4 linked regions of the Rhinolophus ferrumequinum genome follow. The main gene of each other region encodes a partner of the protein of the gene in region 4 in a complex. Links are inferred from orthologs where the notes say so. Each region holds a gene or a part of one and is shown on either strand. Other genes may lie near its edges. The genes, in order: CACNB3, STAC2, STAC3 and CACNA1S.

Region 1 (7,270 bases), on a different chromosome or scaffold from region 4:
AGAGAGCTGGCTGGGGATACACCCCTGCTCCCCCCTTCCCCCGCCAGAACTTGGGCTTGTCCTGTTTGACGTGCCCGCCGAAGGGGGCGGGAGGGGTACCGACCCGAGGAGCCGTCCCACGACTGTGTACTCCCGGCCGCCCGGCCTGGCCCTACCGGGACGCTGCCAGGCTCAGCCTTGTCGCCTCTGGAGACCAGGATGGAGGTAGGAGGGATCTAGAGCTCCAGGGGGACCAAGTATCTAAAAAGAGCCCCACAGGAGTGGGAATAGAGTGCAGCCTGGAGTCTCCATACTAGGGGTCTGGAAATGGGACCGCAGCTCCTGGAAAGACGCGAGGGAGAGAGGTTTATCCCGGGCTTCGGTGGGGGTCGGGCTCGGAGCTGCGCACCCTCTGCTCCGGCCAGGGCAGCGCCTCCTACTGGTAGGGCCGAACTCCTGCCTGCGGACAGAAAGGACCCCCGGGCCGGTGCCGCCACCTGGAGGGCTTGTGCCGCCACCCGGCTAGTGAGTCCAGGGGGCGCTGCAGCCGGTGGGGGAGGAGCCGCCAAGCCTCACTCTTTGCCTTCACAGGCTGAGTCCCGCGGCGCTAGCACCTAGGAGAGAGCAGTGACGGTAGAGATTCCCCAGGCGCCGGGCGCGTCCTGGTTAGACTGTCTCCAATTCGATCCCGCAGGAGCCACCGGGTTTGGGCCTGGGACGGCGGATGGACGTGGCTTCCCCGAAATCCAGAGGGGGCGCCTTGACGCTGGGGCTAGCTAGCAGTACATGAGCGTTCTTTTTCGATCCATTCCTCTGCTGAGGTCGGTCGGAGCCGCCACCGGGACCAGGGTGCTTTCCTTTCTCGGGCGCTGGAGGCTGGGCGTGGGAGCACCGAGCTGGGGTCAGGGGATCAGAACCTTCTGACCGAAGCTCCAGAGTCGGGCAGCCCTTGAGCTACTCACGCCCTTCTGCCTGCGGCGGTGGGAATTCCTGAGTCCCTTTTCTGGGGAGGGGATAGAGGAAGAAGTGAGGGTGGGCAGGCGGAAAAGGGATGAGAGCTTTATGGATGGAAGGACAGTGGGAGGCAACCCGATAAACAGAGAACAGGAACCGTAGAGAGGAAGAAGATGAGACGGAAATGGAGAGAGCAGGACTGAAAGGCGACGGGAGAGGGCGAGAGTGACAGAGAAGGCGAGAAAGGGAGAGAGGGAGGAAGGGAGGGAAGAGGAAAGGGGGAGGGAACCTGGAGAGAGGGAAGGGAGCAGGCGGTGGAGCCAGGCGGGCGTGGGGCGAGGCCAGGCGTACAGGCAGCAGCCCTTGTGCAGAGCTGCGGCCGGGTCCTGCTCCCGCCTCGGAGCCCCTGGCCCCGGGGAGGGGGAGAGGCCGCTAGTCCGGTCTATGTCTTTTTCTGACTCCAGTGCAACCTTCCTGCTGAATGAGGTAAACGGGGGGGGGGGGCCCCTCCCCAGGGGTGGGAGAAAAGCCCCACTCCAAGCTAGGAAAAGGGCCGTATTTGGGGGAGACTGCAGTGATGGAGAGGGAGGGAAACCAAAGGTGAGGCTAAGGGTGAATGAGGGGGTAAGAAAAAAAGGAGCAGACAGAGCTGGCAGCCTCGAAGCACTGGGACTGGGATAGGAGAGGACTGACTGGGGAGCTAGAAAAGAGGACAGAGAGAGGAGGGCTCTGCCAAACTCCCCCCACCCAACCCTCCCCAGGTTCCCTGGGGGCAGCCTTGCAGCTAGAACATTGGGATATTTGGTTTGGTCCAGATCTTATAGACTGCTGTGGAGGACTTCCCAGAGGTCCTAGCTCCTGCCTCAGTTTCCTCATTCAATGATCAGGGACTGGAATCTGCTCCGCTTCTTGGTACACTTATAGGAGAAGCTAGAAAGTATTCTAGAGGTTCCCAAAACTCCAACTCCCAAACCTGGTTATTCAGGCTTTCCTCCTATGTCCTGCTTCCTTGCCTTGGGTACCTGCTAGCTGCCAGTCTAACAGCTCTCTCCTAATAAGAGGAGGGAAGGAGGAATCCTCTCCTGGAATCCGTTTTTCTTTTCCTTTTTTTTTCCTCAGCTCTCTTCCCTTATGCTCAGTCATGGGAAAGAAAAGGGGTTAGGGGCCACAAGACACTGACAGGCACATGTCTTTTTACAGGACAGAAAGTCACTAGGTTGGCATGAAAACTGGAGTAGACAGGTGTGGGTGAGGTGAGAAGTGGAAGGGGGTATTGAGTAGCAACTCAGAGATAAGGGAGAGAGAGAGGCTCTGAAGCCGTGTGAGACCCAGGGGATGGACCCAGGTAAGAGGAACTTGAACCTATCTCCTGGGGGTGGTTGGCATAGCAACTCATGCTTCAGATGCTTCAGGAGGGAGACCAAAGGAGACTTAGACACCATTGTCCTGTATGGGGATGCTGTCTTTACAACAAGTTGTGTGAGGAAGGAATGAAGCTCATAGCAGATCCACTGTTACCTACAGTCCCTGGGATGCCCTGGTGGTGGGGATTCCCAAAAGGAGAGGCCAGGAGAGTGGATTCAAAGATGGGGAGAGAAGCAGATGCCTCAGCAGCTGTCTTCTTCATTAGAGTTACCTCCCAGGAGAGGGCACGTTGAGGGTCATATTCTCTTACACCTCATGCCTTCTTTTCGCCCCTCTGGAAGAACGGAAGGAATTGAAGAGGCAGAGAATAAAAAAGGAGCATATAGGGATTCTGAGGAACTGGGAAAGGAAACAAAAGTGAGAAGACAGCGTGTCTGGGAACTTCCAAGACAGAAGAGTCCAATATATGACCAACCTCCAAATGATGCTGGACTCAGGAGAGGGAACTGGGAAAGCGGACTGCCTCTCCCAGTAGTGATTGGTCCCCTCAGCCATTGGGGCTCCAACAAAATTGTTTGCCAGATCCAGCAGGAAGAAGAGGCTGTGCAGGGCTGAACTACACCACTCACAGGGTTAGACAGACTGAAGGCAGACTAAAGACGGTCTTAAGAGTAGGCCCTTTCTCTCTTTTTCTTGCCAACAGAACAAGTGACATAAGTAGGAAGCCAGTTGGTTTGGATGGTCTTTCTCTCCCATGAACAGTGCTTTCTCCCATAGGTCTCATCAAACCCTGTCAGTTTTGGTTTTCTAATTCCACTGTAGCCCAGGAATGTAAAGGGATGAGTAGATTCTTGATTCACCCTCCTAGGGGTGAAAAACTGGGAATGGAGAAGGATTGAGCTTCGAAGTTCTCCAGGTGGTAACCTTCTGTCATCTCACATCCCCCTCTAGGTGGTGGGTGCGAGGGGGGCCCATAGGCAGTCAAAATTCAAAGGAATACTTTTGCTCTGGAGATGGAAAAAAAGGAGGGAGCTCCAATAGGTGGATCTTTGGGGAAATTGGCTCAAAATAAGGGCTGCTGCTGCTCTGTCTCTAACCTCAAGTCTCAATGCTCCTTTAAAGGAGACTGACTGGTGCAGAGTGGTACCTGTGGCTACAACGGGGATACCGGCCACTCCAACCCCATCCTTTTGCTAAGGAGAAAATCTGGCCTTAAGCTAATGACTCTGGCCAGATTTGTCCTTCCCCCTCCCGACCCCAGTCTGTCCAGGACCCCACCTTCTGTCACAGCCACAATCCCCCTACCTCCACCTTCTGGTTTCTTTCCCGGTCCCTTAGGCTCACCTAAGACAGCCCCTCCCTGTCCCAATTCCCACGGGTGCCTTGGCAATGCCTGGCACAGTCTTCGGCGAGGAAGTGAGTAAGGGAACCCCCCATCCTGGCCAGACTAGGATGAAATCTGCCTGCGCACCAGGTGTAGGGCGGCCGGACCCAAAACCTGCCCTTTTGCACGGGTTGGGCGACACGGCCCCTTGCTGCAGGGTGCAATGAGAGGGCCGAGCACCTGGTGTGGCAGGAGCTACTTTCGTGGCATTGACGTGGAGTCGCCAAACCCATTCCTCCCCAGTGCCATTACGGGGTTCGCTTTTGGAGTCTCAGGGACCGCCAGGGCCCAGACACGCCTCCCGCTCACCTGGGGCCCCTCCCCCGTCTGCGCCTGCCCCAGCCCCGCCTCTTCTGTCTCCCCATTTTCCTGTCTCCCCCGCCTGTCTCCTGCCTCTATCTCTCCTTTCTCCCTCTTCTGCCTCCCAATAACCTGCGCCCGCTTCTTTCTCGGCTCGGGTCTCCTTTCCCTCCGCCTCTCCGCTCCCCCTCCCCTCCACCGCTCCAGCCCTTTGTTTCCCGGCGGAGTATTTCCTGGGTTGCCGAGCGTCTCAGTCTCCGCATCTCTCCTCGCCCCGCCTTCTCCCAGCCTGGATCCGCCCGCCCTGTCTCTCCTCCCCTTCCTCCCCGCCGCCCCTCGGGTCCGTAGGTGCTGGGGGACCCACCTTCTACCCAGCTCCCGTCCGCTACCCTCTCCCAGCCGGGTCTCGGGCTCCCCGGGTGGCGGGCGCCCCAGTCGCCGCCCCCGCCTGCTCCCGGGGAGGGGGGTCAGGTGGGCGGGCACTATTGTTGTAGGAGCCAGCGCCAGATTCCTCAGCCGCGCTCGGGGTGGGACTGGCTGGGTTTGGGGGGTGGGGTGGGGGTAAGCGGTGATTTGAGCTCCGAGCAGCTGGTCTTCGCGGCTCGCTCCCTCCTTCGCGCTCTCTGGTTCTGCGCCGCCGCCCGCAGGGCTGCGGGGCTCGGTGGCATCTATCGGGCGCGGCCCGCTGTCCTCGCCCCTGCCTCCAGGCCGCTCCCGCCCCCGGCGCCGCTCGCTTCCCCCCACCCGGACTCCCCCATGTATGACGACTCCTACGTGCCCGGGTTTGAGGACTCGGAGGCGGTGAGTGCCCACGATGAGGGTGGGGGTGGGGAAGTTGGGGTGACACTTGCTCTCCCTTGGACCCTTCTCCCAGTCCAGGACTTTGAAAAAACGTGGCGGGGAAGAGCGTTGCGGGGGGTTGGGGGCGCTCCAGGAAATTGGGGCGATGATTTTCGTGCCGCGGGCTCTTCGGTACCCCAATCCTAGACCAAGGAGCTCGGGGTGTGTGCAGGGAGGGAGTAGTGTGAGGGGAAGGCTCGAGCAAGTGGCTCCAAAGCCCAGAACAGAGGGTAGAGGGAGGAAGGGCTAGAGACTGAGGGAACAGGGGCTTTAGAAAGGGCACACGACATGTCTCAAGTTCCCACAGGTGGATTGATCGGGTCTGAACACAACCGCTTTCAGAGGAGAAGCTGAATTTCTTGGGGAGAGGGACAATCCAGACCTCCCATGACACAAATACAGGACAAATTTAGGGAGCCTGAGAGAACACCAGAGAATCGGGTACCAGCCTCTTCAGACAGAAAGATCACAAAACTTGAAGACCTCCATTATTCCTTCCCCCTTCCATCCTGAGCTTGCCTCATCTCTTCACCCTGCCTTTAGCCCAGCTTCTCTCCCAGGCTGCAAAGTGGGCACCCAGCACATGGGTGGGCCAGCTGACTGAGCCCCATCCTGTCCGTGCCTCCTGCTGAGGCATCCTCAGAACAGCAGGCACCCTGAGCTCCTCTCAGCATGGAGGACCTGGAGCTGAAGCCAGAGGAGCTGAGGGCCTGGGGATGGAGAGGAAGCTCTTTGCTCAGAGAACCAGGCAACCGATAAATATTTAATTCTCCTTTTTGCTTTTATCTCCTGACCCACTGAGACAAATCAGCTCATTAGTCAGTGATTCCCGGAGCTCAGGGAGCATGGAGAGTGACTGGAAGGATGGAGCAAAGATGGGGAGCAGCTTCTCAGTGCCTTCTCTCAAACATCCTGCAAGAAGGCCTCCTTAGAAGAGGACCACTAGATGGCTTGGAAGGGGTCCTTGATAGGTGTGGAGGGTAGAGCACTCCAGGATCGAAAGTGGAGTGTTTGAGTCTTCTCCCATCTCTTGCTGCCCAGCCCAGGATAGATGAGTTCTAGGGCTCAGAATAGGCAGCTATCAGTCCTTTCCTGGGCTCCTGCTGGGCCAATTCCCCATTGGGCCTCTGGGCCTAATTACATGGCAGCTAGAGCAGATGATTTTCAAGGCTCTGGTGGACACCTCTTTGTGACAGTTGAAGAGACAGCTGGCATGGCCCAGGGTGCCAAGGTGAGCTTGAGAACAAACCTTCCTGCTTGGCTGGAGGGCCCTAGAAGATTCTTCCCATCACTGGTAGTAAGGCAAGAGCTGTTTCAAGGGAAAGACTGACATGTGGGTGGCGTTGGGGGCAGCCCGCTAACCCATTGCTCACTTCTCACCCCTCTCTGGGCCCTGGATCACCCTCCCCAACTTCCCTTTCTCTTGCCTGGCTCCTTGCTCTCCCTGAGGCCCCCTCTGAAGCAGTAGGAGGGAGATCAGGCTCTAAATAAAGCCACTGGCTCATCTCCCTCCTCTCCTTCCCCCGTGCCAGGCAAGAGTGGAGCTGCAGCCTGCCCACACACTCACCAAGCAAGGGGGGCACCACTAGGGCACTGTGCCAACTCCTGGCAGCTCCAAAGTACTGAGCCTCTGGCTGCTCTGGCATAGTGGGGTAGGGAAGGCAAGACCCCAGAGTAGGCCTGGAAGGGCAGCCCTGACCTCCCCAAGTGATACCAGAGCATGAAAGATGGTGAACTCTGAGGACTTGGGAATAATAGACAGGGGGTTCCATTCTGAACCTGACTCATTAAACATTTAGGGAGAGATTCTATCCTTCCCATCCTAGAATGAGAGGCCAGGTAACCCAGATACCCCAGGAGGGACATTAAGATGACTAAATTAGGCTGAGAGCCTGGAGAGCCGAGATAAAGGCCAGACTCCTCTTCCAGCACAGGTCAGGGCATCTAAGAGGCATCTGATGGATACTTATCAAAGTGAATGATCATCCGGCCTTACCTCCTGCCTCCTGGCCTGTTGTCCCCTGTTCCCTTCGTTCAGCTGTCTCCTACATCTAAGACCCCTCATACATCTAAGACCCCTGGAAGGAGATCCCACACTCTACTAACAATGCAAAGGTTCTTTCTGGGGCTCAGCACCCTTTATCCTACTGCCAAGCCAGCCTTATTTTCTTCTCAAGAGAGATGAGGAACAGCAGGCAGAATCTCCTCCTCTGTAAAAGGAGACTTTCCCACCTGTGCTGTCTTTGTGTCTTCCGTCTACCCCAGACATTGACTTTAGCTTACGATCTAGAGCCTGGGCAGATATCAAGCTGACCTGCCTTCTTGCCTATGGTGGGACTGGGGCAGAGGGCATGGCGACAGCAGGTGTTTGAATCTGTCTTCTCCACTGACCTCTGGCCTCTGCTGCCTTCTGTAGGTGCTCATGCACCGCGGACTTGAAGGAATGTT
Region 2 (7,893 bases), on a different chromosome or scaffold from region 4:
GCTCTTAACAAGGTTGCCGGTTCGATTCCCACATGGGCCAGTGAACTGCGCCCTCCACAACTAGATTGAAAACAATGACTTGACTTGGAGCTGAGCTGCACCCCCCACACACACCTAGATTTTGAAAAACAACGACTTGACATTCTGGAAAAAAAGTAGCAACCTTTCTGAGCCTCATGCTGCAATTATAAAAAGAGGATGATGAGAGCCTTTACCCCATAAAGCTAGAGTGAAAACCGAATGAGATAATAATCGAGCCCTCATAAATGTGTGTGTCTTTTTTTCTATGAATCTCCAGTGCCTAGTACATCATAGGTTTATTTATTTAGCACTTAAAAGTACAGGTTTATTTCTATAGCACTTGTAAGTAGAGGGTCTGTTTATCAAACACAGTTCTTCAGTGCTCTGCATGTCTTCAGAGTGCTTTTCAAACAGTCTACCTTCTGAGGAAGATGCTTTTTTTTTCTAATATATTATCCCCCATTGTACAGATGAGGACACTGGGGCTCAGAGAGGTCAAGTAGCTATCTCAAAGTCACACAGCTAAGAGGAGACAGAGCCAGGGTTTGAACCCAGACCATCTGGGTCACAGTCCCTGTTCTTAAATCACTGTACTATGCCCCATTCTGCCTGATAAATTTAGTGTGGAATTTAAAATGAATCTCCAGGCAACATTCCAACCTGGAAGCTGGAGAATGAGGTCTACCTACCAAGTCACCCTCACTTCTAACCTCCAGATCCATTTGCTTCCAGACTTCATCCTCTCTCTTTTCTACCAGCTCTGAGCAACAGCCTCCACCCCAGTCTGTGCCCAGGCCTCCTCTCCAGAAAAAGATCCTCCTTTAATACTTTGGGGCTCCTCAGTGCTCATTTCTTCAAAATTCTAACCCTAACAGCTCTCCCAGTCCACTGGATTCCACCCCCTTGCTCACCCCAAAGTGATGACATTGCTATTACCGTGGAAACATGCTTTGTGGGTGGGTAGGGGGAATGGACTGGTGAAAGAAAGCAATGGCTTCAGGACACAATCAGAGACAGGGGATGTGGAGGAGTGGGTAAACGCGCTAGGCTTGGGGAGGGGCCCCCAAGGGCTATGACCCCCCCACACACACAAGACTGCTATTAGCCCTATGTCCCCAGCCTCAAAGAGAAAAGAAACAGAAGGGGCAATAGAGGGTTTCTTCATGGAGGAGAGGACAACATTCCCAATTTCATTTTCCCCCTCACATGAGAACAGGTCTCCTGGACAGTCGGGCGCCTCAGGGGACAGGGGTAGGATTGCGTGCACTGGAACCCCTGTTGTTCCCCTCCAGGGAGCCTGGGGCACAGACAGCAGTAACAGCTCACCCAGGGAGTGTTAGGGACAGTGCCACAGGCAGTGGGAGGGCGGCTCTATGCCAGTGTCCCGAGCTCCAGGGGTTGGTGGCAGCCGGGGGTGGAAGGGCCCTCCTCCAGCCCCTGAGGACCTGGCTGTCCCAGATGCCACAACCGGGAAGTGTGTCAGGCACTTGCGTAAGAGCCTTCTATATTTCCATAAAGTCGTAATTACAGATGCCTGCCATGGGGCTTAGCTCATTAGAGCGGTATCTGCCCCTCGGGCCCTGGGGTGGGCTGGCAGGGGGAGATGGCGGAGACTGGGCAGGGCCAGGCCTCGCGGTGTTTTCTGCATTCCCAGCCCCACTGAGCCTGGACCCTCTTCCTCTCACCAGCTGGGAGATGAAAACTCAGACTTGGCCTTAACCATGACGGACTCCCCCACCCTAGGAGAGCCAATTGCAAAGCTGGAGGGAAAAGCCAGCCGCTCATGTTTTCAGCTTGGACGTTCTTTGGCAACCCATGGGGGCAGAGGCCACAGCAGGAAGGGCTTCAGCTGAAGGTGTTTGTAGGAGAAATTGGGTTAGTCCTTATGGAAGGAGAAGCAATCCCTCACATCAGAGAATCTCAGCCACTCACTGGAGGGGCCCTGGGGGACATTCAGGCCAGAGGTTCTTAATTTGGGGGATCATAGATTCTCTGAGGAGCCAATGAAAACTCTGGACTCTCCTCCAGAAAATGCTTATCCTCCAAAATTTCACAAACCTCCTGAAGCTCACCTACAAGACCAAGGTTAAGAATCCATCATCATCATCATCTATTGTGTATTTCCTCTGTCCATTGCCTTACATATATTAACTCATTTAATCCTCAAAAGAATACTAAGAGACATATAATTATTGCCACGTTTTAATCCAACTCCCCATTTCAACCTAATCTAGTCTATTCTGCCAATCTCAAAAGAAGGAAACCAAAGTCCCTCCAGAGCTAGAAGCTCTCTGCCCAAGGTCGCAGACTGGGATGAGGCCCAGGCTCCCTTCATGTTCTGGACATTGTGCTGCATGCAGATTGGAAGTTATCTGGTCCATCCCTCTGTCCCCGGGTTCCTGAGGGCCCCGCGCCCACTCTCATTCACTTAGCTCTCCTAGTAAGAGGCACCCCAGTAGTTCTAGTTTGACTTCCGGTCTAGGGAGCCCTTCTGAGAATGTGACTGCCACTTACCCTCCTGCAATGCCTTGCCCCCTTCTCTGCCCATCCCTCATTTCTGCACTCTGAATCTGAGATGAGACAACGTTCCTCCCCCTCCAGGAGAAGCCAGCCCGGCTGCTCCTGCCCTGTCCCTGAGCCACTGCAGTAGGAGTTGTTGGCACTGAGACAATGACTCAGACTTAGTTCATGAAAGACCGCTCGGAAACAGCCAGAAAGGACATCCAGAGGTCACGGCACCCAGCCCCCTGCCTCCTCCACATTAGAGAAGTGAGTCCCGAGGGTGTGCAGAGGATGGGTTCACTCAGGCTTCTGGTACCGAGACCAGATGGGCCCGGGGCCATCCACTTCCCTGGCTTTCCTGGTCACCAATACCTGAGAATTCTTCCCCATGTCTCATCAGAATCTTCCTGGGTTGACTCCCCCATGAAATAACCGGCTCCAAACAGCCCAAGAAAGTGAGGGAAGGAAGCCTGTTTCTTATCTCTGCCTCAGGAAAAGCACTGGAAAGGGACAAATCTCCTAGAAGAAAGGAGGGAAAGCAGAACATTAATTTTCCCTGCCTGTCTTCCCTGGGCTAAGTGGCATACTGCATTACCACATTCATTCTCCTAACAGTGAGGTAACACTATGTCCATTTTGTTGATGAAGAAATCAAGGCTCTAAAAGGTTTAGTTACCTACCCAAGATCACACAGTTAATTAGTGACTATATAGGTACTGGACTCTAAGGAACGCAGAGCTTCTGTTGTTTGGGGGGAAGACAGGGTACCTCCCCCAGGAGGTCTCCAAATGCAGAAATCCCTGTTTGCTCCAATCCAGGATAGGTGGAGGGCCTGATGACCCTATCTCAGGGTGCTCCAAGCATCCCTTACAACTCAGTTGCCCAGGGAAGGGATGTTGGGGTGACCTGGACTCGGCAAGCGGTAGGAGGGCAGCCCTCAGAGGGGATTGGGAGAAGGCTGGTAATGAATGGGCCTTTGGGGAGACTGGTTTGAGGGCTGAGGCCAGGTTCTTCTACAGCTCCTTTCAGGAAAGCTAGCACTCAGAGAGTCTGCAGCTGCAGAGGGTAGATGTAGAGGGGGAGGGAACCAAGCCCCCACAAACACAAACCCTCACGTCTGCCCTTGTCCTACTTCTGCCACTGGCAAACAAATCTCTATTCCTGGACACAGTAACCTGAGCAGAGCTCCAATGGTGAGCTCATCCTTGGGAAGACAGAGATTGCATGAATGGTTGTGTGCGTGGGCAGGAGGGGGGGACACAGGGTTCAGTCCCTCCTCCAGGGCTAGCATAAAAGCAGGACCCTCTTGAGTACCACCCACCCACCCATCTCATCACCCACAGCAGATGAGGAAGAGGGAGACAGACCCAAAAATTTCTCCACCCACACTTAAGAAAGGATTCTGTCAATTTCCAACTTACTTCCCTTTCATTGGACAGGCCAAGAGATGAAGCTAGACCTTTTGATCAGGGCCGGAGAGGGCAGGAGGTGAGGGAAGGGGACTTGGGGAAATGGCAGGTAAACAACAAGCATTAGAAGAGGTGCCTTCGGGCCAAGGGGACAGAGCACATCTTGGAGGGTAAGAACGCACTCCCCCCCCCAATTTCCCTACCCACTGATCTAACTCCCATTTATGGTAGGATCTATAGGATGGGGCTGTGTCTTGGAGAAGTTTAGGGGTCTTTAGGCTGAGGCTCCTTCTCTGCTGCAGTCCAGACAGCAAGACTGGAAAGTGACACAGTTGACCTGCTTTACATCCACAAAAAAATTGCCAGGCCTGGCCTTTGACACATGCTGTTAAGTTGTCCCTTCTCTCCTTGAGGAAACCCCTACCTTATAGGCCAGGGGTGTGTATATTTGGAGAGAGTATCTCAAGAGCAGAGAGAGAACCAGGTAATGGGACAGAGGGTTCCCATTCTTCCTCCACTTTGTTATCAAGTCCTAACTTCCATCTCATTCTCAGCTATTCTGCAGATCCAACCTATTTCTATTCCCCCAAGTCCCATCCAGACTCTAACATGATCTCCTGAGCCTTCCCTCAACCTTGTCATGCCCCCACTCCGAATTTTTCAGTGTAAAACTGCCCCCTCCACTTCAGCACCCTCCAAGCCCCTCCCCATCTTGTCAAGGCTTCCAGGCTCCGCCCAGTTCGTCCTCCTGGCCGCGGCGGCAGCCAATAGCTGAGGAGCTGATTTGCATAGCGACGGCTGAGCGAAGGGGGAGGGACCAGGCGACCTCCTAAATCAAAGTTGGGAGGCGAGGACTGGGCGGAGGGGGCTGCCGGGTGCGGGGCTGGGACCCGCGGGGGAGGGAGGGGAATGGGGGGCGGGCGCAGCGGACGGCGGTGCCCGCCGGACACGGACAGCTCCGTCGCTCCCTTCCTCGGCTCATCCCCGCATCCCCACTTCCCTCCTGCCCTGGCTCAGAGCAGCATCCTCTGCAGACCCTCGGTACTCACTCCTGGGGTCGTCCCACTCCCGCTGCTCCGTGTAATTTCCTTCCCTCACCTGCCAACCCGGGAACTTTCTCCGCTCGCGCCCGGGAGAGAGGGGTTGCTTTGCTTGGGCGGGGTTTCTCCTGGGGTTCATTGGGGGCAGTCTTCGGAGAAGGGCTTCAGGGTCCCAGAGAGACGCCCGCCACCCGCATCCCACCCCCAGCGGGCCTGCCGTCGGGTCTCGGTACCCTCTCATCCCCTTTCCCCCAACCATGACCGAAATGAGCGAGAAGGAGAATGAACCAGATGACGCGGCCACCCACACACCCCCGGGGACCGTCTCTGCCCTCCAGGAAACCAAGGTAACTCGGGAGGCGCGAGGCCTGGACCCCTGTCCGGTGCGCCCCCGGCCCGGGCGCCCTCCAACGCAGTTTCCACTGTGGGTTCGGGTGCCCTGGGGTCACAGTAGCGGGCCGGTGTGATCCTTAAGGCTCCGATGGGTTCGCGACGAGGGGCCACTAGGATCCCCCATCACACAAGCACAACACGCCCTTACGCGCGTGATGAGCCGATTCGCTACCGCGACCCTCCAGGGAGGTTGTAACTCGGCTTTGTTGGAGGGAATCGGCGCAGCAAAGGCGGAAGGAGTGTGTAGCCGTGTGTAGCGGGTGTGGGCCGGTGTACGCGCCGGTGTGCGTGCGAGGCGCTCCCCTCCTGTGTCCGCCAGGTCTCTGGATGTAGCTCAGCCTCTCTCTCTCTCTCTCTCTCTTTCTCTCTCTCTCTCTCTCTCTCTCTCTCTCTCTCTCTCTCTCTCTCTCTCTCTCTCTCTTCTCTCTCTCTCTCTCTCTCTCTCTCTCTCTCTCTCTCTCTCTCTCTCTCTCTCCTCCTCTCTCTCTTCTGTGTCTGTCTCTCTCTGCAAATGTCTCTACAACCTGTTTGTCTCTGTCTTGGTATCTCCCTGTGTATTTCCCGGGTTCTGTCGGCGTCTCTATGTGTTTATCTCCGAGTCTCTCTGGACGTCTCTCTCTGACCCGCTGCAGTCCTGCATTCCCCCCTCCCAACCGGGTTAGGCTCGGGGACGTGAGGCCGCGGCCCGGGGGTGCGCAGCTTTCGAGTCCACGCTAAGGGCTGCGGCAGCGCGGGCCATCGCGGGCGGGGACCGGAGGACTGTTGTTGCGGCTCCAGAGCAGAAAGACAAGCATCCCCCACTCCCCACCCCGGAAGCGGGACGGGGGTGGGGTGGAGTTGGGCGGGTAAAAGCAAAAAGAGAAATCGTAATTAATGAATGTCATAATTAACCCTAATTATGTATGGATGTTACTCCTGCGGGAGTCACAACGAATAAATTATTCCCCACTGAAGTCAGGCGGAGAGCCCAGACTCCTGGCACTGAAAAGGGGGAGGGGAAGAGCGCTGCTTGCATTCAACGCCCCACCCACCCACCCACCCAATCTGTCCGCTCCCTCCTCCAGTTCTAGGTGTTCCCGACTGCCCGGCAAGAAGTTCTGCAGAAGCAACCTGAACGGGTCTGGGGATGGGGAAAGAAGCGACTGTGTTTAGGCTTCAGGAAGGGAGACTCCAGGCTCCAGGCTCCCCCTCCCTAGACTTCAGGCCAAGACCTACTTCCCTCTCCGTTCCACCTGGTGTTTTGTTCCCACTCTGCTTCTGCTATCCATGTGAGGACGGGGCAATTAGGACCAGAAATGGATAGTGATACTTTGGCTCTCCCTGGTATCACTAGCTCATCTATAGCTCTCTCCAGTGCCCATCTTCCTTCTCATTCTGTCTTGATCACCCCCCCAGGATATGAGGTTAATTCAAGGTCAAAGTCATCAAGGGAGTGACCAGGGGGAGATGAATAGGGCCAGGGTGGAGTCTGGCTGAGGCATCCCAGGAAGCTCCCCATCCCTAAGCCAGAGAGACTCAGTGGGTCTCCATGTCCAAATCTTCAGATAAACACTTGACCTTCTCCTGCCCCCTTCTAAGAAGGAGACTCTGGGCTCTCAGAACACAGAATTAACTTCCCCTCGGAGAGTTAAGTGTCTGTTGGGAAAGGAATGAGGAGCTGGGGTGGAAGGATATTGCTTGGAATATCTGTGACAGCTTCTATCAGGCAGAGGATCCCAGGAGCTGAGCCCTATCCTGAGTTCCAAGGCCCCTGACCTTCTCAATTGCCTTCTAATCACCCTGTACACACGTACATAATCCCCATGCTTGCTTCCCAGGGGCTTGGGGGCCTCCCAGGCCCTGCCATGCTTCCCACACCAAGGCCTGTCAGCCATGCCTCTTCCTTAAGAGCTCTCCACAAGTAGGCAGGAGTGAAAGCAGGTGGGAGCCTGGGCAGTGCTGCCTGCTGCCTCAGCAATCAGCAGGCTGCAAGCTCAGCTTTGTTGGGAGGGGGAGGTCTGGACCTGGCAGGTCTGTACCACCCTCCTTCCAGCCCAAGGACCCTCCAATGCCATCAGCTCTGGGTCTGACCATAGAGATCCCAGGAGCAGGGGAGGAGGGGCAGTGCACCTCTGACCTGGACCGTCTGTGCCAGACCAGTTGGAGCCCTGTACCTTTGCCCCCTTCCCCTATACTTCCCCTTTGTGAAGAACTCAGTAAAAACCACACGGGCTGGGCTGGGGATCAGGAGGGCAGAGAGAGAATAATTCAGGGACCTTGCCAGCCTCCTTTTACCCTCCCACCCCCAGTCTGTCTCAAAGAAACCTCTGTCTCCAGACTGTAGGAGTGGGAGAGATGGAAGGGAGAGGATTGCTTGCTGCCCATCCAACTCAACTTGAAGCAGGTACAACAGAGGAAGCTGGTGCCCATCAGGCAGTGAAGCCAGCATTCCAGGCTTATATATCAGTGTTTGGGGCCCACTAGGCATTTCTTGCCAGCTCAAGTCCAGCCTCCTGCTTGTCCTAAGGTTGGGTCTCCCCCCTGCACCC
Region 3 (7,513 bases), on a different chromosome or scaffold from region 4:
AAAAAGGACTAGTATCCATCTCCCAAGCCCCTGAAGTCTCATAAGTCATACCATGAAGCTCAAACTCCCAGAAAGCCATCTGCTCTTCCTCCCTAGGCGATGGGCGCTACTCCCTCTTGGGCCAGCCATTACAGTACAATCTGTCCATCTGCCCTCCTCTGCTCCATGGCCAGTCGACTTACACGGTGCACCAGGTAAGGGTGTCCATCAGCCTTAGGGCCGTCAGACACCCCCTTCGCACTCGGGCCCCTATCTCTGAGCCATCTACCTCAGCCAGCTGGGTGGACAAAGGAGACAGCAGACAGAGAATGGACAAAGTGGAAGGGCCTTACCGCACTCCAGTACCATTCATTCCTTTCTCCCCACCCCGTGGCCAAGAGGGAGGGGCTCTTTGTTTCTCAGTGGCTATTTGACCAATCTGACTACCTGGTGAGGGGGGTCCTCAGGGTTGGGTGCTGCTCCTTCCTTAACTTCTCAGGCAGACACTGGAATGCGAGGCAGTCCATGTTATTTACCCAGGATGAGAATTATCTTTCTGATGTTGAAGGGACAGACTGGGTTGAAACATGGAAACCGGAGCAAGAGACAAGCACTCAAATCTGCCTCCACTGACCTAGGGACGACAGATGTTGGTGAGTGACAGGATGCCGAATCTCCAAGAGAAATTGCTCACCCCTCCAGCCCTACATTACTAGCCCAGGATGGCAGGGAAAAGCCAGCTTAGGGTGGGGAGTAGAAATGGTACCCTTCTGTACTCAGGAGCAAGGAGAAGTTGCAGAAGTGAAGTATCTCTCTCCTCCTTACCAAGCTATTCCAGGTGCTGGGGAAGATGATGGTAAAAATTGGGAATAACACAATGATGGGGGTTGCTGAGCCTATTATCAACAGAGTCTTGTGGCAGTGGCCCTGACTTTAGTCAAGGTTGTCTACCTTTGGTAGTCCTTGACCTAATTTAGGAGAAGCTTGACAAAGGAATGTGGAGGAGTAACGCCTCCTGCAGGCCTTCCGTACTAGGCATACGAGATCTGTCAGGATTTCCCCTATTTGGAACAGTTTGCTAAACAAGGAAAGGAGGGGAAACTGACTTCCATAGATAATAAAAAAGGAATCTACTGGGGCCAGCCACTGGGAAGGGAGCTATGGAACATATTTCAGATTACGCTACTGACTTTGTCAAAGAACATCAGCAAAAGCCACACTCCTTCACAGTAACAGCTCCCTGTGAGAGAACTGAGGTGCGGGTCTCCAGATCTTCAATCTGGGATTCTGGTTCCCAGTCTCTCCTTGCCTGCATCTCTAGGCTAGAGGAGAAAGGTTCCTTTGTTTCTCCTAGTTGCCCTGCTGAGAGTCTGGATAGTGAGGAGTTGGGTTGACTGGGGAAGGAGGGAAGGGCGAAGTGAGAAAGGCCAGGCTTTTGAGAATGTTGTATACAGACATGGCCAGCTGGATATTTGTGCAGTCCTTCCTACTCTAATCCTCTCACAACCTTGTCCTCTCTCCTTCCCTTCCAGTCCTGGGGCGGGTGCTGGAGGTGACAGATCTCCCTGAGGGCATCACTCGTACCGAGGCGGACAAACTCTTCACTCAGCTCGCCATGTCCGGCGCCAAGATCCAATGGCTCAAGGATGCCCAGGGGCTGCCTGGCGGAGGTGGGGGGGACAATAGTGGGACTGCCGAGAACGGCCGCCACGCGGACCTCGCTGCCTTGTACACCATCGTGGCTGTGTTCCCCAGCCCCCTGGCGGCCCAAAATGCCTCCCTTCGCCTCAACAACTCTGTGAGTCGCTTCAAACTTCGAGTGGCCAAAAAGAACTATGACCTGAGGATCCTGGAGCGAGCCAGCTCCCAATAAAGGGAGGAGGGGAAGGGACCAGCACAGCAGGGGAGAGGGCAGGGTGGAGGGTGTTGAGGGATCCTGATAGACCATGGACAGAGACCGAAAGGAAGGTGACAGACACTAAACTGGAGCCTAAAACAGTAGGGATGAAGATGGAAGCAGACACTCACACTGGCACTGGACTCCTTCTTACTCCCCTGCCATGGGTCCCCTCTTTTTCCCTGGTTGGCCTTCCTCTGCTTCCCCCTCCTTCCCATCCTCTTCTATCATTTTTGATCTCTTCTCCCACCATGAAATTAATTTCTTTGATATTTTTTGGTTAGGTAGAATTGGGAGAGTCCTACACTCCCCTGTTCTCCTGTTTCCTGATCATCCCAAGCTCCCTTTTCTTTTTTGGTCTTTATGAATATATTTATATGGACAGAATTAAGAAAAATGAAATTGATTTCCCTTTTCTCTCACTTCCCCCATCTTGTCTCCCCAAACCCCAGAGTTAAAACTTGGGCCTTCCTCCACCCCTACTCCCCAGAACACTTGTATATTGTTTGTTTGAGGTTCGTGCCGAAGTAACAGATACAGTATTTAATTGCACATAACAGATGTTTGCTGGGTATATTCACTGTAAATTTTATTTAATCTGAGTTTTTGTTTGTTTAGGGGGCATCATTTGGGGGGAGGTTGATTTTGTTTTTAAATATAAAAAAAAAAATCTGTCACTGGACGTCAGTCCCTGTTTCTGTGTTGCCGCCCTGGGGTGGGTAGGGGTTGGAGGTCCTGGGTAGGTACAACCCCACGGTTATTGGAGGGATTTGATGTGGGTTTGGATGGCTTTCCTAGCATATGCACCTATCTCATCCTAACACTATTCCCTGTGTCCCAGCCTCCTCCTTACACATAGTTCTGAGGTACCTGGGTCTCTAATGGGACCTGGGTCCTGGGTGCTCCCAATTCTGCAACTAACTCTGATTCATCAAGCACACACTTCTCAACTCGACACTTCTGAGTCTGTATCAATAAAATAAGAGATGTGGACTGACTAGGTGACCCCTGAGTTTCCGTCCTCTCAGTTAATTCTGTAACACTCATTTAGGGTCCTTGAGCCTGAGCTGGGGACGGGGAGTTGAGGTCCAGACCTGGATTCAGATGCGCCTCATACCTGTCCGTCTAATGTTCAGGGATAGAAGACTTGGGCCTTTAATCTTAAAGCCAGGGGATTGGGTTCTACCTGGCAGGAACAGAAGTGGATGTTTCTTACAATACAAAGCTCCGTCCGTTAAATTTGCAATGCCCAGATGCCATATTACCCAGATGTCCTATGCAGCTGAAGAAAGGTGAAGAGCAGAAGTCACCTGCCTACAAGATGGAGCTTTTCCTCTGAGGCTTCTCAAAACTATCCTAGTTGTTTAGCCTGTCAGACCAGTTGTTAAAGAGCCTGTAGGCACAGAATCATCCAGCAGCCCCCTTTCAATCTGAGCCACCCCTTAAAGAGAAAAAAGAGCAGAAATGACAAAGAACATCGCCCCGGAAATCTCTTGGCTCTGGGTAGGAGTAGCTCTGGTGAGGCTCGCTCCTCTGGGGCTTGTCTGACCCAACCTCCAAAGTAATCCTTTACTTTTTAAAGATACAAGGGATAAAGCAACACTATGTCGCCACCTCCAAATTGCTCCCCTACCATGGGAGTATCTCCCTTTCAGCGGTGTCAGCACAGAGCAGAAGGCTGCATCCCTGGGAGATAAGAATGCCAGATAGCTCACTGAGCCATCAGTTCATACACCGGGGCCTCAGAGGAGGGAAGAGGAATCGGGATCAGAATGATTCAGGAAGGGTGAGGCTTGGCCATCCTACCACCTCCCAGAGTTTGCAGTTCTCATGAGGAAGGGATATTCCTTACAGACGGTAAAAATGCCCTGCGTGGCAGCTGTTTGTTACCGTCTTTCCAGTGTGAACAATAGCATCTCTACCTGATCATTAGACCCTTCCTCTTCCAGAGCCCTCAGATGGGGGTCACAACCTGGCTTTGTTTAATAGCTCTCAGAAATACCTTCACCCTGAGGACAAGATTTTAGAGGAATAGGGGGAAAGAAGTCTTTGGGAACAACTGGAAGGAACACAGCAGTACTACACGTTCTTCACTCCCATAAGGACAGCAGCATGTACCCCTCCATCTACCCGTAGAGAAGAAAGCAATCTGGCTGATAGGAGAGCTCTGAAAATTCAAATTTTCTTTTCTTCACCAGTTCCCAGCCTTTTCCTTCTTAAAGGCTTGAAGGCATAAAAACACATGGCCACAAGAAGACAATGGCTGAGAAGTCAAAGCCTAGTTCCTGAAGTAGGTCCAGGGAGGGCAGAATTGGGGAGGTGTTTGGGCCTTGGAGAAAGGGGATTGGGAAAGCTGTTTGTAATTCGTCTTTCCATTAGTCATCTAAAAATCACCCACGAGTACACAGCATGAACACTGTCTCTTCCTGAATTTAGCCCATACTGACTTACACACCATAGATGAAAAACCAAGGAACGGCAGCTCTGGGGGATGGGAGAGGTTAGGGTCCAGCCCTGCCCAGACCTCTCCGTGTCCAATTTCTCTGTGTCAGCTGTGTCGCTCAGCTGTCCACTTTCCTCTAGCCCTGTCATTTCAGCTTTGACACCAAGGCAAGAGGCTAGGTCTACAAATACCGCCTGGGTAGCCAGTGTGAGTACAGAGGGTACTGGGGGGGCTTAGCCCCCAAGGAAGAGGACCAGTCCTCCAGCCCCACCACCAACACCGCAGGGGCTCCTTCCTCCCTCTACTGATTGTGGATTGACTTAGGGAACCCCAAACGTAAGTTGCCAATTCCCCTTTTCATTTCCAGGACTATTCACCCCGGCTTCCCCAATCCTGAGTCTGTTCAGCTTCATTTCTTTCCTTGTCTGTGAGTAGTTTGGGTTTTAGGAGTGAAATTACTGTTCTACTCCTGGACAAAGAGCTAGGACTGGAGGGGGGGTGGGGGTTGGGTCAAGGGAACGGAGTAGTAAGAGAAGGAAAGGCTCCTATTACTCTGAAAACTTAAAATAGCTGAGGCCTGAGGCAGGCTGGGAACTAGGCCCTGGGCCTCCAGGGCTCAAGAAAGAGGTTGGGATAACAAATGTCCCAGCGCTTCCCTCCACACATCAAACCTCTCGAAGAAAGATCTCGGGAAGGTGTGTGTCATGTCTCATTGCCCACAGATTTTGTGAAACAGGGTCTGTAGGAAAATCCCTGGGGTTGCCCTTCAGGGTGGAAGGATGGATATCGTTAGAGGAACTGGTTGGGAAGTTCTTTTGTCTGTTGGGCTTTTCTCTGGACCTCAATGGAATCTTCCTGTTCATAAGCCCTATGAAAGGATCTCTGTTTAACCAAATTTCTCCCAAAGCCTCCCCTTCAAGGACCACCCTATTACGAGGGATAGGAATAAGGGAGGGAAGAATGGCAGTCAGAGATTAGATTTCATAGTGGGGTCCAACCTCTTGCAGGATGACAGAAAAGGAGGTGCTGGAGTCGCCCAAGCCCTCCTTCCCAGCAGAGACTCGGCAAAGTGGGGTGAGTCTGGGCCTCTGACCATGGGGTGTGGGGAGCTGCAAAGCCACCGCAGCCCTTGAAAAGTGCTTGAATTGATGGCACTTATATGCGACTCATTTATTGTTAGGATGCTAGCCAGCACCTGCACCCGCCAGTACCCCCTAATCCTGGGGTGTGCCCCTTACCCCAGGTTAGGAACATGTCTAGTTAGCCTCAGCCTTACCTAGAGAGCATGACAATTCTTTTAACATTGGGTTTCCTTCATTCCCTCCCTCCCTCCCTCAGCTACAGCGGCTGAAGCAGTTATTCAGGAAGGAGTCTACAGGGACAAAGGAAATGGAGCTTCCCCCAGAGCCCCAGGCCAACGGGGAGGCAGTGGGAGCTGGGGGTGGGCCCATCTACTACATCTATGAGGAAGAGGAGGAAGAAGAGGAAGAAGAGGAGCCACCCCCAGAACCTCCGAAGCTTGTCAATGATAAGCCCCACAAATTCAAAGAACATTTCTTCAAGAAGCCCAAGTTCTGTGATGTCTGTGCCCGGATGATTGTGCGTGAGTCATGAAGGGAAGTGGAGAACGTGTGATGTCGAAGGCGGGACAGGGGGAAAGGGTTTAGCAGAGGAGTGTTTGTATAGCAGACAGGCTGTGGCAAGAATTGGCTTTAAGAAAATAACTGTTAGAGACCTCAAGTGTGGGCTCCCAGACAGAAGAGGGACCTGAGAGCTAGAGTAGCAACAACGGTACAAAGGCAGAAGGAAACAGGAGCCTCACCGAAATGTTCTCCCCTTCTCCCAAGTCAACAACAAATTTGGGCTTCGCTGTAAGAACTGCAAAACTAGCATCCACGATCACTGTCAGTCCTACGTGGAGATGCAGAGATGCTTCGGCAAGATCGTGAGTAGACTGGGGAGCCAGACAGTAGGAGGGAGCAGACAGGTGCCAGCTACCCCCTTGCCAGTCCCTCCTCAGGTCACCCCATCCATTTTCCTGCCTTTTCTTTCTCAGCCTATCTCTTAACTTCGAGAAGGGGTGAGCACTCATGGGAGAGATGGGGTTCTGGGCCCTACTGTGTTCTCTCTAATGCTTTCTCCCATCCCATCTTACCCTGCAGCCCCCTGGCTTCCGTCGGGCCTATAGCTCCCCACTCTACAGCAACCAGCAGTACGCTTGTGTCAAAGATCTCTGTAAGTGCCCCCCCTGGGACCTGAGGGAATGGGCAAGCCTAGATAGAGATGGTTTCAGCACCATCTCTAGCTTTGGAAGCCAAATTCTGAAACAGAAAGATTCTACTTCCTGTGGTTCTCTCTCAACCTAATATTTGAGCCATTTTGGATGCAGAGTCAATACTCCCGTTTGATAGCTGAGGGAGATAAGATTTAGCTAGATCTCCACACAGCTAGCAAGAGACAGAGCCAAGACGAAAACCTTCATCTGCCTAACTTCAAAATCTGTGCTCTTCATATGCAAAACCATTTTTAAGTGAACAAAGATTCTGACAATCCTCATCCTCCTTACAGAAGAATTCCAGACTCAGGGCCAGACCAAGAGCTGTGGACACCCTGGGCACATTCTTAATTTGGCAACCCTTACAAAACGTTATTTGACAATTGGCTCCACATTTATTTGGAGGAGAGGCTGAATTCTGTGAGGAGCATGGGTGTAAAAAAGAACTCACTGGTGGTGGCACCCCAGCTGGCACATGCCACTTAGTGGAACAAAAGCCAGCAGTTAAAGGACCTCTCTACTTAGAAGGAGAATAGTGATTCTGAGAATGCCCTGCCTAGAAGGAGTGCTGATAATATTTTTCTCGATCACATTACATTTCCAGTGATGTTTTTGGAGCTCTTTGTAGATTGATGACTTGTGTTTGCCCAAGTGACCCTTCCCTAATCTGACAGACACACACAGACACACGCACACACGCACGTATCTGCTCAGTCCCACCTCTCCCTTGCTTAGGCGGTGTCTCTGTCCTCCAAGCCTTGCTCTGCCTCCCCAGTAACAGCTTCTTTCTTCTTCCATTCCCACTAGCTGCCGCCAATCGCAATGACCCTGTGTTTGAAACGCTGCGCACTGGGGTGATCATGGCAAACAAGGAGCGGAAGAAGGGCCAGGCAGATAAGAAAAATGTGAGCGCCGCCCC
Region 4 (8,046 bases):
AGGCGACCTGAGGAGGGACCAGATTTTGCCTGGTTTCTGAGTGGGAGGGTCCCACTACTCACGTTTCCTGAGCTCAGGCAAGGGAGCGCCTCATCAAGTTGGCGGGGGTGCAGCTCCTGGTGCTGGACTCAGTCTGATGACACCCTATTCTTGCTTTCCCACCACAGAACCCCACGGCCGCCCTTCTAAGAACATCCTCCAGGGGGCGTTCTCTTCCCACGGCGCCAAGGTGACCTGGGACCTGTCCCCCCAGAGCAGCAGCTCAGCAACAGCAGACGCCTTGAACCTGCGGGGGACACCCCCTCATTGAACAGGACACGTTTGTTAGGTCAGTGCAAGCCCCACTGAGCTTTTGGTTCACATGTGAGGCCACAAAGAAGATACTGGGGGACGAAGGGGAAAGACCGTGAGCTTGGTTCCATTTACTGATTCCTGCCTGTGGGCCTCGGGCAGTAACTTCACCTTCAGGAGCCTCTGTCCCCACCGGGAAAGCCGGCTGACCTTAGTACATCCTCACAGGAAAGGTGTAGCAGTCAAACCGGGGTGTCAGGGCCCCGTGCTTTGCGCGTCATAAATGATAGTTGGCAGCTCTGATGAGTAGGTGTGGGAAATAAATAAGTTTTGAAAATGGAATCCACACAAATAATATTAAGTTGTATTTATTAAAATTGTCATTAGATAAAAGCTTCAGACCTCCATCAAATTAAATTTAAATAATTAAGTCAACTATAAATAGGGATTATGTGGGGAGTACAGTCTGGATCCCATATTTAAAAAAAAAAAATGCAAGCACTGCTAGTGAATAACTGTGAGCACCCGTGAGGTGCCCAACACTGGGGGAGGCACTGAGGGCCCTCACTCCTGAGTCGATGCTGCGCCCTCTGGTGGCCCCCAATCTGGCCGAAGGCTTGAGACGCACAATCTTGAAAGCCCACGCTGGGAGCTGCAAAGCTCGGGCTCTGGCACCCGGCGAGGGCAGGACTGGGGGAGCAGAGGTGTGGAGAGGGCCGCCGGCCAGTCAGGGCAGTGGAAGCCCAGGGGTAAGGTCAGGACACTTTGTGTGTCCTGGGTCTGATGGAACTGAGGGTCTGTTTGAAGAGATTTTCGAGAACCTTCCTTGGACAGTAGTGGGGAGCCCTCGAAGGCTGTTGAGCAGGGGAGTCTGTCCCGATGTTTCACACACTTATTTCCACTCTTGAAAGCAGAGTGAGTCTCCATGGTGTCAGAATCACTGTGGATTTTTCCTGGTTTTCGTTCCGCGTGGAGGGCAGAGAGCTAGATGGGAACAGACTCGGGGACAGGAAAAGGACAAAGCCCAGGATGTGCAGAAGGAGACGGTTGGGAATGAGCCTGTGACCAGCCTCCCCGTTGGGAGAGAGCTGGCCCCTTCTGTCCCGTGGAGAGGCCTGGCCCAGTGGCCCGGGTCTCCAGCTGTCCGTCACTGTCCACCGGGCGTGCAGCGCCCACTTGCTCACCCCCCAGTCAGTGAATCGCAGGTTTTCCATCATGAGGGGACAGTAACAGCAGTGTGACAAGTGCTCAGATGGCCTCTGCAGGGCATCGTGGACACGCACAGGAGAGGGAAGCAGGGTCAGAGAGAATTCCTAGAGGAAATGACACCTACGTGGACGCAGTAACCCCATACTGATGAGGGTTGGTGGCATTTACATTCCACGCAGGCAGTGACTTCTGAAACAGCCGCTTCCTAGAGCCTGGGCAGGGCTGTGTGTAAGGCAGGCTGCCCTTGCTGCCCAATCCTCTCGGTTATCCAGTCAGTACCTGTGAGCGTCTTCACGCGCCCGGGGCAGGCCAGGCTCTGGGCCCAGCCGCACAAGCACACACGCTCCGGGGCAGTGTCCCCGAGGAGAAGCCAGGGTGCTGTGAGAGGTGCGTCCTGGACCCATGTGCTCCCGTCCTGCCTCTCCACAAGGCAGAGAGAAGGCCGTGAACGTCCCAACACCCCAGGTTCTTGGAATCAAAGATGCGTGTCCTCCAGTGAAGCGTGAGACCCCTTGGAGGGCTGTGGTCACCACTGCATTTCTTCTGCTGACCCAATAATTGGTCTCTGAGCTCCTTGGATGGCAGGTCCAGGAAGGTATCAGTGATAAGACTCATTCCCACTCAAGGAAAAGGACATTATCCGCGCTGTTCCTAAGCCAGGCCCAGGAGCTGTTTGGGGTGTATTTTTTCTCATTTGGTTCTCATATATTATTGTCCTGTGAGGGGTGTTTTAATTCTCTCCCTGTGTGGAAACCATGACTCAGAGGCAGTCCAACCAGGAAGGGGGAACGCGGGATTGGAACCCTGCTCTGGCGTCTTGTCTGCAGCAGGCACCCGCCTCCCCTCACCACACCTACAGTCTGGTGTGGGGCTGGAGTGACACAGGGGCCACCATACCAGGCCTTTCCTAACGCATATGTCCTCTCTCCTCTTCTTTAGAAACGTTCCCGGGGACCCTCTGCAGAGCTGGAACGGCAGTTCCTGACCCCCCAGGCGGCCTGGGGTCCCCAAGGCCGTGAGGAACAAGGCCCAGGCACTGTGGCCCCAGCTCGGAGCCTCACCGTTAGCACCCGCGGGAGGCGCCCTCGCGGGGCTGCAGGCGAGGCGCTGCCAGGTGTGTCGCGGGAGCATGGCCGACGGATGAGGTCACTGGCCCGGAGTCCTGCTTGCGCTGAGCCTCTGCCTGGAGCCACCCGAGTCCGGAGCGATGGCACGCGTTAGGGGAACGGCAGAAGCCAGCCCAAAGAGTGAAGAGAAGCGCTAACCAGTCCTGGAACCCCAGAGCTGCTGCTGGCGATGTGACTCGTCCCCGTGGTGGGGACGTGCAGACCCCGAGCAGGGGCGATTCAGGGAGGGCCTGCCTCTGGGAGCAGCCCCCCGTGGCACCATGAACGGTCACTTCTGCCGGGGGCTGGTGGACCGGGGACCCGCGGTGCACCCCTGTGCTGTGCAGTTGGGCGCCGCGCCCCCTTCCGGGCCAGCGCCCCTGCCAGCGGAGCCCTCGGGCGCCATGCCCTTTTTGCTGTTCCCCGGCCCAGCCGCCGCCTACGCCGGCCTGTTCCCCTGTGCGCCCGGGCCGGGCGCCCTCGGGGGCTACGACGGCCCCTTCGAGCCAGCTTTCATCCAGAAGCGCAACGAGCGCGAGCGGCAGCGCGTGCGCTGTGTCAACGAGGGCTATGCACGCCTCCGAGGCCACCTGCCGGGCGCGCTGGCCGAGAGGCGGCTGAGCAAGGTGGAGACGCTGCGCGCCGCGATCCGCTACATCCGGCACCTGCAGGAGCTGCTGCGCGCCGCCCCCGACGGTCCCCGGTCTGAACGCCCCAGCGACGCCCAGCCGCCGGAGGAGCCCCGCTTCTCCTCCTCGCCCGGCTTGGAGTCGGAGGAATCCAGCCAGTGATGCGGCTGCGCAGGGACGCCTCACTGCCGACAGCGCCTCGGGTCCCTGGGGGGCGGCGCAGGCCCGGACACTCAGGGGCGCGCTGCGCTCCACGTCTGCGAACCGTCCTCCCCGCCCCACGGCCGGCCGCCTCCCTGCCATCTGGGCGGAGGCGCAGGGCAAGGGTTGCCAGTGGCCGGTGCAGACCTAGGCATCCGGCGGGTGCAGCGGCGGGTGCAGCGGGGCGCAGGCCCTGGGGAAGCTCCAGCGCGTGCCGCGCCCTGCAGGTCGCCGGAAGGCCGGCTGGCCAGGACTGTCATCGGGGGGGTCTGGCTCCGAATCAGCTTCGGCTCCGCGCCGGGGAAAGCTGAGGCCCAGCCTCTGGTTGTGCACAGCGGGCGGCGGTGCCCTGCGCGGTCCTCCGTGGCCACAGGGGCAGCCCTGGGTCTGCGAGTCTCCAGAAGACCAGCCGCGCTTTGGTTCGGGATGCGCACCGCCCGAACCTCCACGCGGTGGCCTCACATACCAACGGCCTCTTCGGGAGTTTGCTTGCCCCCCACCCCTCCGCCTGCCCCCGGGAGAGGAGCCCAGAGCGGGACGAGGAGGCGGGCTTCTGCATGCAATTGCCGGGACGGGACCGACAGACTTGGAAAGAGGCGTTGTGTGCGCACTGGTGGCGCCCTCCGGTGGCACCCCCTGGGTCCGTGATGGAGGGCGATCACCCCGCTTCCCCACTCCCCCTGTGGCCTTTTCCTCGTTTTTTCCCCAGTTTGGGTGAGGACTGCGTTTTCCCACCTCATCCTGTGCGCCTCTGTGGCCGGCAGGACCGTATGGGCACAGTGGCGCCGTCTGTGCCAAGGGCCCAAATAAAAGATTTGTTGAGTTGTGTGATTCCTGGATAATGTTGGCCCGCACTTATCGTGAGGTGGGTAAGTGTCCTGTTAGCTCTTACACTCAACTACCATTTACAGAGCTCAGCATATGACATCCAGGGACAGTGTGGGAGGGGCCAGAGTCCCAGGGAGAAAGCACTGGACCCTTAGAGTTAGGGGGCAGGGAGTACAAAGCAGTCACTGCTCAGAGTGGCAGGTACAGTGTCCCCAAGGGGGGCGCATTCCAGGTTCTTCTGGGGGTCTCCACCCCCGTGTACAGGGGTTCACTGTGGGGTGGGGTGAGGGTGGGGAGGGGTTCTGGCCTGAGAGCTGCAGGTACTGCGGTGGGAGGTGGCTACGGATCGGGCCACCCAGCACCTTTTCTGGACAGTGTCATGGGGCTGGGGGAGGGGAAAGTAGCCGTGTCTTAGGCACCATCTCGGAGGTCTGCCCTCCTGAGCCGCTCTCCCCAGCCTTGAAATCTTCCATCCTGTCTCCTACTGCCCGTTCCAGGCCTGCTTGCAGTTCCTCCGGCTACCACCACCCCCACCCTCCTGGGACATATTGGGATGTCACTGGCTAGGCTGGGAAAAAATGACAGCTGCCTGGCCTCAGGGGCACAGGCAGCCCAGTGAGTGGGAGGCTAATTTTACTCCCTGGGAGCAGGGAGAGTAATCCACGGCCCCACCCCCTGGCCCAGCTTTGGCCCTGCAGACTCAGCAGCCCAGTCCCCACGGCGAGGGCACAGAGGACACAGGCGAGGGCAGTGGGTGGGGAGCAGGAGCCGGGCTGCCGGGGAACATGGAGCCGCCCTCCCCACAGGACGACAGTCTGAGGAAGAAACAGCCCAAGAAGCCTGTCCCCGAGATTCTGCCGCGGCCACCCCGGGCCTTGCTGTGCCTGACGCTCCAGAACCCGCTGAGGAAAGCCTGCATCAGCATCGTGGAATGGAAGTATCCTCTGGGCCCGCGGGTAACGTGGGCGAGGGAGGCCACGGAGAGGCTCTTGGAGATGGGGTGACTGCCTCAGAGGAGCGTGGGGGCAGGAAGGCCCCAGCCGTGGGGGGGGCCGAGGAGGAGCTGGGGGGCTCCCTGGCCTGAGTGTGCGGCTGGGTCCGGGGTCCACCAGAGATGCCTGCTGACCACGGGGGCGAGGCCGGGCTGTGTCTGGGAGCCGCTGGCAGGTGTACCTGGGCCCACAGCATCGTCGGGAGGCTCCCCTCAGGCTTGTGAAGCGACAGGCTCATTTTGATATCGGATGGGGGAGAACAAAGCGGTGGGTGGGCTCTGCAAGAAAACCCTCCCCCTGGAGGGGAGGGCGGGGCAGTGGAGCGGGATGAGCCCAGCTGGGGGCGGGGAGGAAACAGGCCTGGATGAAGCGCTGCTGTGAGAGGCCCAGGGCGCAGGCAGGGCAGGCGGGTGATCCTAACTCAGACCCCACTCGACACCCCTTCCTGCGTCTGCATCAGCTCTGGGAGGAGGACGATGAAAATCTCTGCGTTATTTGGGAGGAGGAAGGAGAAAGGAGATACAGGCGGGAGGGAAGGCCCACGTCAAGTGGGTTCTGAAAGAGATGGTCAGGAATATTTGAAATATTTCTGAAGGGCCCTGGGAGACCCGACTCCCGCCAGCTGTTCCCAAGAAGGGGTAACTGCAAAGACAAGAAAAACGTGGGACCAGGTTGGAATCCTTAGGGTCGGAGTCAGCCCTGAGCCCACAGCTGCCCTCGCCCACTGCCTCCCGTGAGGTCGGGTTTTCAGGGGACTCTCCTCCAGGCCTCTGCCCCTGTGGCTGCCTGGGGAACGGGGTTCTCACCCAAGCCCGTCTCCACAGCATGCCTCCCTCCCCCTCCACCCGCCTTGCCTTCCTTTCCCTCAGCTGCTTCCCAGGCTTTCTGGTGGGCCGGCCTCTGGTCAGCCATGCTGCTCACCAGCAGAGCAGGAAAGGAATGGGCCTGGATGCCTCTGGAAGGTGGCCGTGGAGGCCGGCTGTGTCTTGGGGGTGGGGGTGCTGACAATCGGGGGTCCTGCAGTCCTCCCTCGGGCTCTGAGGGTCAGGTTTCACCCCACACTGTCCCTTCCCCAGTCCTGCTCTGTGGGCACCTAGCCTATATCCTATCAGCCCACTTCTCCGAACGAGCCCCCCAGGTGGTCTGGCTAGAATCTCAGAAAGTCACAGCTTCTTGGGAGGGAGACAGGACCTTGGAGTGGAGCCGTAGACTCCTTGGCCCTTACATGAGGAGCCTCAGCTGGGAGCCGGAGCGGCAGGGTCTCCAAGCATCTGAGTGGAAGCCACTGCTCCTGAGCGGAGCCTGGCCCTTCCACGCCTGCAGGAGGAGGGCCCCTCAGCTGGGTGTTATCGGCACTGTCCAGACTGACCCTCAGGCCCTCTTCCCCTTCACCCTGCACACCGCACGCCGCACTCGAGGGCTCTCCTTAACCCTGGCCCCAGACCCTTCGAGACAATCATCTTACTGACCATCTTTGCCAACTGCGTGGCCCTGGCCGTGTACCTGCCCATGCCAGAGGACGACAACAATGCTCTGAACGTCGGCCTGGTAAGACGGCCTCCCTTCCCCGTCCCGCGGGCCTGCGGCCATCTGGGGAGGCCCCCTTGGTGGGCTGTGTGCTGGAGGACGATGCTGGAGCTTTGTCTGAGGATACAGACCTGCCAAAACCACCCTCAGGGCTGCCCCTTCTAGATTCTGTGACACTGCCAGCCAGGCCCGCAGGAGTGCTCGCTGGGCTAAGCCCCTGCCCAGACTAAACTCCTGGATCCTCTCCCAGCCCCATGGAGCAGTCTCACCTGACAGGTGTGGAAACTGAGGCTGAGGTCCCACCTGACAGGTGTGGAAACTGAGGCTGAGGTGCTGCCTGACGTATGGAAACTGAGGCTGAGGTGCTGCCTGACATGTGTGGAAACTGAGGCTGAGGTGCCGCCTGACAGGTGTGGAAACTGAGGCTGAGGTGCCGCCTGACAGGTGTGGAAACTGAGGCTGAGGTGCCGCCTGACAGGTGTGGAAACTGAGGCTGAGGAAGTCAGCCAGTGTGTGATGAGTGCCGAATGCCTATTTCTCCTCCTGGATCAAATCCAGAGGAGCCCTGATTGACTTCCTAGAAGGGTTCCATCCAGGATTCCCAGTACAGGACACTTGTAGGGTTCTGTGCCCCTGTCTCCTCCCTGTCCACCCACACCACACACAAAAACCATAACAGCCGGAGCTGGAAGAGACTGTCCAGACTTGGGGTGTCCCACCCCCTCCCAACCTCATTGTTCTATAGGAGACAAAACTGAGGCTCACTTAGTACTTACTTAGTACTTACCCAACAGCTAGATAGCAATAAAAATGCTTCCCATTTATTAAGTGCTTATTAGATGCCAGATTCTGTGCTAAATATTTTACATTATTGTCTACTTTTGTCCCCATAGCTGCCCCTGTGAGGTAGGAAACATTATAAGATGGGAAACTGAGGCTCAGAGAGTTGGGATACCTGGCCCAGGGTCACCCCCCAGGTGTCTTCTCAGAGGGTCTCAGACTCAGGCCTCTGTGACTCAGCCCCACCCTGTAAGGCGGTGCTGCCAACGTCGTGACAGCATGAGGATTTCTGGGGAAGCCCCTTGACATAGTGGCCTTAGGCGTGTGGTCCAGGCTGGCGAGGGGACTGGACAATGGACCCACATCTCGGTGGCTTTTTTTCTGCACTTACCCTGCAGGGGTGGGCAGCGTCCAGGGCCAGAGAGAAATGTGTTATCTCTGCCTCTCCTTGTGCCCATTTCCAGGGGAATCTGTCTCGAGTTG

Evidence for each region.
Region 1: CACNA1S (region 4) and CACNB3 share a complex: the UniProt entries of both Homo sapiens proteins name them as parts of the calcium channel complex. The link is inferred for Rhinolophus ferrumequinum from reciprocal best matches to the Homo sapiens genes CACNA1S and CACNB3.
Region 2: the proteins of CACNA1S (region 4) and STAC2 are in contact, whole or in part, in a crystal structure (PDB 6B27), measured with the Homo sapiens proteins. The link is inferred for Rhinolophus ferrumequinum from reciprocal best matches to the Homo sapiens genes CACNA1S and STAC2. Residues at the interface, in NP_000060.2 of Homo sapiens: Glu749, Pro750, Glu751, Ile752, Pro753, Ser755, Pro756, Arg757, Pro758; in NP_945344.1 of Homo sapiens: Tyr301, Lys302, Phe303, Gln306, Glu307, Asp310, Asn326, Asp328, Trp329, Phe340, Pro342, Asn344, Phe345.
Region 3: CACNA1S (region 4) and STAC3 share a complex: the UniProt entries of both Homo sapiens proteins name them as parts of the calcium channel complex. The link is inferred for Rhinolophus ferrumequinum from reciprocal best matches to the Homo sapiens genes CACNA1S and STAC3.

The regions. Positions count from the first base shown.
Region 1 is NC_046293.1:49,939,865-49,947,134, forward strand, and holds the start of CACNB3 (voltage-dependent L-type calcium channel subunit beta-3), read left to right. Parts: upstream 1-4,067; 5' UTR 4,068-4,738; coding exon 4,739-4,783; intron 4,784-7,270. UniProt on the Homo sapiens protein: Regulatory subunit of the voltage-gated calcium channel that gives rise to L-type calcium currents. Increases CACNA1B peak calcium current and shifts the voltage dependencies of channel activation and inactivation.
Region 2 is NC_046304.1:35,985,822-35,993,714, reverse strand, and holds the start of STAC2 (SH3 and cysteine-rich domain-containing protein 2), read left to right. Parts: upstream 1-4,784; 5' UTR 4,785-4,973; intron 4,974-5,180; 5' UTR 5,181-5,229; coding exon 5,230-5,319; intron 5,320-7,893. Other genes in the region: transcription factor CP2-like protein 1, read right to left, coding at 2,896-2,913. UniProt on the Homo sapiens protein: Plays a redundant role in promoting the expression of calcium channel CACNA1S at the cell membrane, and thereby contributes to increased channel activity. Slows down the inactivation rate of the calcium channel CACNA1C.
Region 3 is NC_046293.1:56,296,268-56,303,780, reverse strand, and holds the start of STAC3 (SH3 and cysteine-rich domain-containing protein 3), read left to right. Parts: upstream 1-4,454; 5' UTR 4,455-4,655; intron 4,656-5,326; 5' UTR 5,327-5,327; coding exon 5,328-5,393; intron 5,394-5,657; coding exon 5,658-5,922; intron 5,923-6,166; coding exon 6,167-6,264; intron 6,265-6,481; coding exon 6,482-6,554; intron 6,555-7,401; coding exon 7,402-7,499; intron 7,500-7,513. Other genes in the region: R3HDM2 (R3H domain-containing protein 2), read left to right, coding at 97-194, 548-632, 1,512-1,852. UniProt on the Homo sapiens protein: Required for normal excitation-contraction coupling in skeletal muscle and for normal muscle contraction in response to membrane depolarization. Required for normal Ca(2+) release from the sarcplasmic reticulum, which ultimately leads to muscle contraction.
Region 4 is NC_046310.1:1,102,458-1,110,503, forward strand, and holds the start of CACNA1S (voltage-dependent L-type calcium channel subunit alpha-1S), read left to right. Parts: upstream 1-4,965; 5' UTR 4,966-5,049; coding exon 5,050-5,201; coding exon of another isoform or gene 5,202-5,220; intron 5,221-6,698; coding exon 6,699-6,804; intron 6,805-8,046. Other genes in the region: ASCL5 (achaete-scute homolog 5), read left to right, coding at 2,888-3,397. UniProt on the Homo sapiens protein: Pore-forming, alpha-1S subunit of the voltage-gated calcium channel that gives rise to L-type calcium currents in skeletal muscle.